2 linked regions of the Drosophila melanogaster genome follow. The protein of the gene in region 1 interacts with the protein of each later gene in a pairwise test. Each region holds a gene or a part of one and is shown in the gene's direction. Other genes may lie near its edges.

Region 1 (4,847 bases):
ATTTATAAACTCACGGCGTGCGCGTATTTATCAAACTCTAATTAATCGGTGATAAACCGATCAAGACGCTAAATGCTGCACTACACGAAGCCGCCAAGAAACCGAAGACTTTCTGCAAACCGTCACAGGGGGATCTGCACTTTGCGCCTGAAAACCGGTTTGAAAGACCTCTTTACGAAACTTGGCTTCGATTGCATTTTTATTTCTGGTTTCAGTTTCGTAGTCCACCGATTACCATGTGATTTCCTACACCGCAACCCACCCCACCCCATCAAAATCACCCTCCACATCTCAAGCCCCTTTCGGGAGTACGAGTATTTGTTGAAGCAATTTGCTTTCTTGCATCTTGTGGCTGACCGAGGCGACTGCGATGCAATCAATATATGCTCGTGTCCAGCAAATAATAGACTTCAAACTGGCATTTTAAAAGTTTTTTTTCATAGCCAAAGTCTCGAAGTACGAAGTGCGATTGAGCCTGGAAGGAGTCCGCCAAGCGTTTTGGGTCTACAATTCATTGCTCTTACCGAGGGCAGAACACTTTTCCCCTAAATGCTCACATAGTTAAACTTATGAAAAGTTCGCTTTGTGCTGCACTAACAGGGGCCTCCAACGAGGGCCAGCTCACTATCCCTAAAGACAGCAACAACGAAGATCACTGCTCAGCAGTACAGCTAGAACATCCTGTATATGTCATAGCAATGAACTCTAATCCACTCTAGTAAATCAATTTATTAGCCACGTATGACTTATGCCTTTTTAAATAAACGCTTGCATGCGTTCTCTAGTTTAAGTTTAAGGTTGAGCGATTATAGATTGGCCATCCCTCAAGGGCGGGCTGAGTCTCAAGATACTCTTAAATAGAGGAGGCACAAGATATTTATGTTAACATGGCCTGCGTAGTAATTTGGCATTGTTGAGGTATCACGATTACGATACGACTTTAATTGTAGTAAAATACGAGCAATCGTATATGTGCTTTGCAATAGTGGCTTCGGTGCAAGCCATGATTATCTCTACTTTAAGATATGTGTGCACAAAAAATACAGTTATTTGAAAACGTTTAGCGTCAATAGTAAGAGTGTGAAATGACCTAGGCGAGTAATGCGTGCTCGTATCCGGATGAGAGTTCACTTATGGGTGCGTTTTGGTGACTTCGCAAAGCACTGCAAAAGTTAACAAACGGAGAAATATCAACAACATAGCTATATAAAACCAGTTGCCAAAAAAATGTGGTAAAAAATGCTTAGTTTATCTTGCTTAACTTTTTGTACAGCGTTTGCCTTTTCCGAGTATGCACACAAACGTTGAGGATAAATTGAAAAAGCCATTTTGCTGCCAATTTAGCAAACACTTAAACCAATTTTGCACTTCAATCCACCGACGCACACAAAAAAGGAGTGTCTCATACCTATACAGTTCCTATTCAGCTGAAGCCACACACTTGCACTTCTCGGATCCCAAGCGGATTCATGGAGCTTGCATCGACGCTGGCTTTGACGCTGTAACAAGGACGACCCAAAAGTCAGTTGCTGTGCCCCACAGGGAGGAAAGTGTAGGAAGCTTCCAAAACGTTGCCAACAAAGTGTGAAAATGTCAAGTCGTAAAGTGTCCACTGGCTGAGGGGACGCAGCGAGCGGTAGATGGGTGCAGTCTGTAAAGTGAAATGCCCTGACACCCATATCTGTTCGGGCAGTTTAAGTCAGCTTTGAGAGGAGTATCAACATTTAAAACAGGAGGACAATCGGTTATTATTGTCGCAAAGTTGATTTACAGAGAAACACAGCGTTTTGTAATATTAGAACTAACCCATTTTTACGCTCTACTCGAGAAATTAGTTAGCTTTGTATTAAAAGTCTGGTGCAATTAATGCTTTAGAATACTTTCAAATTTATCGAATAATGTCCTGTATTTGCCAATACCATGATCTCGGGGACATTGCCACCAGAGACCTAGTAGCGTTTCCTTTGCCTGCAAGTGACGACATGAGCGCTTTCAACGAGTAAGTGATAATTTAATTATCTTATCTTTTGTTACCACTGGACTTCTCTTAGGGTGAATAAAGAATCATTGGGGCATAATGCTGCTGAGATTAGATTGTCGGCCTCAAGTCTATCCGACTGCCGTGTAGAGAACTGGCTCCTTAAAAAGAAATTACGCGAATACGAAGTTACAATTGAGAACCTTGAGCAGTTGGTGACTACTATAGTTGAGAAGCAGCATCAAATTTTGAGCGAAATGTTTTCCTTACGCAAACAAAACCGAGAGCTGCAATCCGAGTGTCATCTTCAACGCGAGTATCACTCATTGGAAAGAAATGCCTTGATGAAGGAGCTGCATGACGCTCAAATCGTGTGTAGAAGTCGAAATCTGGATACGGTAAGTACAAACATAAAGAAACTAAGAGTGCATTTCTAAATGGGAAGCGCAGGCATGTCGATCAGATGAACATCAAGGTAGTGTAAGTTTGCCACCTGGGGACACGCTCCTTAAATCTGAATCCTCTTATGGTGATTTCGAAGAGGAAGACATGAGTGAATCGGACGACGGAGATCAGTGCGAAAAATGTTGGGTCGGCAATAATAAAGAGGATTTTGATGCTGGAGAAAATTACGCAGAGCCTTCAGCACTTAGTTCAGGTCAAAATTCTGGTAGGACATCACCGTCCTTATCAAGCTCAGTAACAGGGGACTCGGAATCGGCTGACGACAGATTTCTCAATAACATAAGCATTAATCAGAGCCTTACTAGTGATAGCGATCCGGAATATGCAGACAAATAATTACTACTTGATGCCTTTGAGTTTAAAGGTCTATATATTTTCTTTAATATAAAATTCAAATTATTTATAGACCAAACTTTCTACCGTGACTTTAAGTTGTCTTTCATGGCATTAAATAATCAAAACAAAAACGTGACAATCGCACAAATCAAATCAGCCATAAGTTTGACATAACGTGACGGTATCAGATTGTGTACAGACATGGCACTGCAAAGAAAAAACACGTCAATTGAGAAAAATAAGAGAATACCGACGCCCAAGTATTTGCATATTAAAACGCCAAAGGGCTGCAGAAAACCCGTTGCTAAAGTGCTCTCCTCGCCACCACACAAATATGATTGAATGGTAAGTAAATATATGTTCGCCAAAAGGGGAGTATTTAGATTACTGGCAAAAACGTGTTAAGTGTTTATCTATCGAAAAAGTTCAGGCCAAAACAGCTACCAGCCCTTTTGCAGCTTCTGGCATGACTATACATGGTTTGGGATTGGCCCCACACAAAGTTGTAAGAGAAGCGAGAATGTGTGCTTGTATTATGGGCAATTTATCAAACAGAAAGTTTTCAGCACAAATGAGTCGTGGCAAGGAAGCCGAAGGCCACCCGGGCACCCGTTTGCCAACAGGATTAATGAGTCTCGTGTGCTGCCTGTCCTATCCTACATCCTTGAAACCTGTCTCGCAGCACGTACCAATAATCTATTATGAGCCCTCTTCGAGAGGCAACTTGTGGAAGTTTTCGGGTTCTTTCCAAGATCGCTTGTCTTGGCTACGTTTTATGTGAAGATTTTTGATACTATATATGGGTGATAATATGAGACGTTATGACGTTTATCTCAGACTTGTAAGATGTTAAGCCAGAAACCACAGTTTTTCTGTTAGCATGAACAAAAGAGCATATTGCAATGCAATGTCAAAAACCTTAACTTTTCGTTGCTTGCCCTCAAGGACTTACACAAAAATAATTAATGACGAACGGCCTCGACTCAATGTAAATCGAGTCCGAAACTGTTTGCAATATCATTTATCAATTCAGAATTTTGTTTAGAAACTTGTTGCGCACAAAAAAGCTTTTCATGTACACGTGAGAAGGTACGAGGACTACCGCGGTAAAATGAATGGGATACGAGATGTGAAACCAAACAAGGCATTAAAGAAACACGCAAACATATTGAAATGCAATACCGTCTTGGCACTATAAACGCCTTGCGAATCGCATCATGATAGCTCCTGCATCAGAATCTTCTACGCCCCAAACAAGTAGCTTAAAATTGCGCGTAAGTGAGCATGGGTGCGTTTTTGAACCTTTGGTTCAGGCTACATCAAGACATATGAAACCAAAATGGTGCTAGTTGGTGGACGGTTGACTTTGTGAATATAGTTATTTTGGATAGTTATGTACAAGCGACCAACGCCGTCTTAATATTTTTATATTATGTTGTAGCAGGCTGCCTTGATCCGACGAAAATCGAATTTTCTGGATCAACGCCTACTTACTTACTCAACCGTAAAAATACATAAAACTTTTGCAAAAAAAAAAAAAAAGAAAACAAGGAAAAACCGTACTTGCGTGTTCTAAGCAATTTCAAACCAATAATCGTTGGGTGTCTTTTAAATTAAGTAACCAGAGCCATGCAAGCCAAATATGCCACATTGACATGTCTATCAATGCTGCTATGATGGCTTTGATGGGATGAGGGCAAGGACTTTTTGTTATTTTTTAATTTAACTAATCTAAAATTGGAATCATTTTATACTCAGCCCACAGGAAGTGTGGCATAACAGAAATAAAAGAAACCAATGAGTGATACATTGCGATTAATACAGGAGAGTACTATCCAATAAAGCAAGGCAGACCACATTTCATTTCTATTATACCGCGCTTTTCATATATGTATACATTTTACTTGGTTTAACACAAAAACCTGGCTGACAACTTTCTCAAAAATTTCTGGGTAGAGTTCAAAGGGGGTAAAATTTACTTCATACACCTTAATACATTCACCAGTTCATTTTATAGGGTTTCTCATGCATATTCAGAAAAGTATTTGTTTGAACAAATGTGTGTATG
Region 2 (4,213 bases), on another chromosome or scaffold:
GAACATGCAAGCTTCAACTTCAAATCTGAAAGATATCCTAAGTATCCCAATTGGATTATTTAATACCTGTACAATACTTGTTCTAATTGGACAGCGTCTAGAACATCAAAGAGTACAGGAAAAATCACTTTAAGGTCTTATTAACACAAAAGATTATTGAGTTTTCTAGAAGTCTCCAACTGTTTTCAGCACAGTTTCAAGGAAATCCAGCCAAAGATTTGAAGTGAGCATCAGTAGACTTACATCAGCAAGAGATTAATATAAACAATTGCTTCTATTAGTCACAGCTTCGGACAGCACTGCTAATTTAAGCTACTTTCCAGCCAAATAGTCGGGACAATAGTTTGGCATCACTGTGCACAACACTAACACACACGCACACAGAAGCAGTGCATTTGCCGTTGGCCAGAGCGAGACAACAATAACAACAGAGTGGCACGAATGTGCGAATGCGAATGTAAATGTGAAAGTCTGCGCGCTCCTTTAATTTGCCGTTTTTCCTTTGCACCGCTCTTCCGATGTTACATTCATCTAATTATTACACTGCAAAAACGAAGATTTCGAACAACTCCAAATGCCAGCGCAGCATGTGTGTGTTTTTTGTTATTTCCCTTATTCTCAACTGCATGACGATCTGATGAAATATGTATGCGAGTGGGATTTCGAATTTGATGACGAAAGCAGGGCCGGGAATTACGGCAACAATTGCACTTATTCCATTGTACACACACAAAGGGGGATGACACTGGAAGGCGGACGCGTTGCTGACGGGTGGGGGGGTTGGATGGTGGAAGTGGTAGTGCTGGGTGGAGGGAGGGAGTCGGTTTCCAACTGGAAGTACGACCAAAAACTGACCTTCTCCTTCGACTCCTTCGCTGCTTTCAATTGACGGACGAGATCGCCTTGCACTTTGATTTGCTCCAGAATCTGCTCACGCGTATCACTCATATTCCGTGCTCGATGGCCAAAAATGAAAAACGGCAAACGGTTGACAGTCCACTGCAAAAGGCGGGCGCGCGGCGTTTCAATCGTCTCGAATCGACACGGCGATTTATGCTGTCTTTTCCAGCTTTCAGCTGCTTTTTCTGCGCTGCTGGCCAAAAAAAAAATTCGCACGCGGTGGTCAATGTGACCGTTCGTCGCGTGGTGGGAAAACGTGCGCTAGTGCGAACTCAAACCGTGGTTGATAACTGGGCTGGCGGACATGTAAAGTGTATAATTTATAATTTATTAACAACAATCAACACACGAATGCTGGCCACTGTTAGTAATATTAACTGCACTACAATTTATTAGCTAATTTTATCGTTTTTTTTTTTTTTTAAATAAAAATGTTCATGTCACTTGATTGCGTAAAGTTGATCTTGTTTGTTTTTTGTTTTAAACAAGTTCAAATAAGTTAAAATAAGTTGATTCGATTACAGCACAAACTTATCTATCCTAAAATCATTAAATAGAATATTTTTTGTCAAAACTACATATATTACAAATCATCAATTAAAAAAAATATATTTTTTTTTAAATAGCAAATCCTGAAATATTTTAAGAAGCGTTTTTTGTTTAAATTGTTGTTTATTGTTAAATTGTTTAAAAATCGAAAAATTCGAAATGAAATATAAGATTGGAAAAATGTTTTTTACTTCAACATTTAAAATTTCCCTGCCCAGCAGGCGATGTGCTTAGTTTCATTGGTATATATTTAAGCATCACCCTTAGATTCAGTATTCCTTCGACACCGACTGACTACAAACTGAAATTAAAAAAATAGCATTGAAAATTAATAAGACACGCTACACATACACAAACACACACGCACACCACACACGAGATGAACAAGCCGCAAAAGCCCATCAAGGTGAAGCGCGCCAAGCGGACCGGATGCTCCAGGATTCAGCCGCAGGAATTCGTGGAGGCTCAGGTGGAGAACGCGCGCAGGGCGGTGGAGCGCAAGCTGATCTACCTGTCCGAGTCGAACAGAGCCAGTGCATCCACTCGGGCGGCCAAGCGAAGCACGGCTGGCGCAGGCGGAGGAGCAGGGCGGGAAGGATCGAGCATGGCTGGCCATGCCCATGGTGAGCGTCGCAGGCGCAGCAAGAGGAGTCTGCTACACGCTCCAGCTCAGGAAGAGACCGACGAGGAGGAGAGTTCGCCGCTGGAGAAGACGAACAACTACGATAACAGAAGACGCAGCAGTTGCAATCGTAAGTTACAAATACATTTGCATATCGTCGATTTGGGATGCACCTTTCTATATGATCTTGGGTATTATTCAAGCTAGAGACACCAAATTTGGTATACAATACGTTATTGGTTATTAGAACTCTTTAAAATCTTGAAACAGCAGTATATATTTATCATCATTACATATATCATCTACTTAAGACCCTTCTTTCTATATGATCTTGGTGCTTAGTTAGGCAAGAGACACCAAATTTGGTGTACAGTACTTTATTGGTTTATTATACTCATATAAATCACGAAACATAAGTTTCAAGTGCAATTTATTTTAAAACAACGATTACAATTGTAGGTTATTAAATATAATCGATTTGGACACCTGTTATCTATATGATCTTGGGCCTTATTAAAGCTACTAACACCAAATTTGGTATATAGTACTTAACTGATTAATATAGTATATTAAAAGTGATATTAATTTAAGATCTCATATTGAGTTAACCAATTCTCCATTCTCCATTCTCCAACAGTATTGCTATCTCCTCGTCGCAATGGCCTCACGCCCCGGAACTACGAGGCCGAGGCCGAGGCAGCGGAAATGGAAGCCATTATGGCCGCACAGCAAGCCTCCAACGGAACGACGAAGCCCGATCATGATGAAGGAGATGGCGGGGAGTATCAGGGCGGACCGTTTGGCCGACTGCAGCTGAAGCCGCTGGGCAGCTATGCCACGGACCAGCAGCTGCCCAGCTACTCGTGCGGCGTGTGCGGTGCCAAGTTTCACATCCGATCGCTGCTGGGCGCCCACCGGCACACCCACGACGATGACTTCAAGGTGCGCTTCCGTGCACGGCGACCGCGGGAGAGCAGAACCACCCTGACCACCGTCCATTTGTGCAAGTACTGCGATCGCTCCTTCGACCTGGAACGCACGCTGCACATCCATCTGCTGAGCTACTGCAAGAAGATACCGCCGCAGCAGCGCCGCAAGCTGGCCTTCACGGAACTGGCGCACGAGAAGAAGGCGCCGTTGCCCAACTTTCAGCGGGCGCAGCAGCCGGTTCACCACCAGGGAAACAGTGCCACCAACCAGCAGGATCAGATGACCCAGCAGGAAAAACTTCAGAAGATTATCATGCGCGAGTCGGCAGTGCACGAGCGCTGGCGCTAGTCGTCCTCATTACCAATCTTCACCAGAAACTGGATGCAGAACCAACGCTTGCTTCCAAACACCAGAAGAATCCATTGAAACGAAAGGAAAATTGTCAAGTGCAGGGCGTATGCAGCTCAACTGTATTTGATTTGTTTACCAGGATCATCAAAATTTGTGGAATTGAAGGCAAAATTATTAGAAGTATGAATTGAGCACAATGACACGATTAGTGGGAGACTCACCTGTTCTGAAGACCGAAACACACACTGGCGTTGAATAGTCACATTCCACAAACGACGGTCAATTAAAACTAAATTAAGAGTCCCCAGCACGTTGATGCAAATGTATTGAATATAATTAAATATTTGAACTAAACAGAAGATTTACTTGCAATGAATTGTCATTTCTTAGATACTTGGCGGAAAGGTAAAAGAATCATAATCCATTGAGGCTTTAAAAGCATAATAAGATACTAAAATGGGTATATATATTTTTAAATTTATCGAAAAAATCGATGAGAAATCGCTTCCTCTCTAGTCCACTATCTAATATGTAAAGAAGAATGATATCGATGTATTACAGAAGCGCTTCGATACCCAGCTCGAGCAATCGATACGATAGCTGTGCATCGATACATTCGCTCAATGAAGCTGACTGCACGCACGTCCGTTGCGTCACCGGCGCTACCTTGCCTTACCGTTTACCGTTCACCGTTCACCGTTCCGTTCCGTGCCGAGCTTTGGCGGTCAAGCTCAAAGTTTCTGTGCGCTATCTCTTTCGCGCTTGCGGCGGCGGCGGTGGCGTTGGCGGTAGTGGGTCGTGTGCAGGGAATACAAGATAGGCGATGAGCGGCAACTCGGGCGGATCGAAGCCATCAGTCGA

What was found.
Region 2: the proteins of lov (region 1) and CG6470 interact in a two-hybrid assay, tested with the Drosophila melanogaster proteins (one large-scale study listed by BioGRID).

The regions. Positions count from the first base shown.
Region 1 is NT_033778.4:25,136,593-25,141,439, reverse strand, and holds the start of lov (jim lovell), read left to right. Parts: upstream 1-1,812; 5' UTR 1,813-1,898; coding exon of another isoform or gene 1,899-1,999; intron 2,000-2,051; coding exon of another isoform or gene 2,052-2,376; intron 2,377-2,428; coding exon of another isoform or gene 2,429-2,779; exon of another isoform or gene 2,780-2,813; intron 2,814-4,847. Other genes in the region: CG43106 (uncharacterized protein), read left to right, coding at 1,899-1,999, 2,052-2,376, 2,429-2,779. UniProt on the Drosophila melanogaster protein: Has a regulatory role during midline cell development.
Region 2 is NC_004354.4:18,512,325-18,516,537, reverse strand, and holds CG6470 (uncharacterized protein), read left to right. Parts: upstream 1-1,670; 5' UTR 1,671-1,828; coding exon 1,829-2,201; intron 2,202-2,708; coding exon 2,709-3,349; 3' UTR 3,350-3,709; downstream 3,710-4,213. Other genes in the region: HisRS (Histidyl-tRNA synthetase), read right to left, coding at 856-948.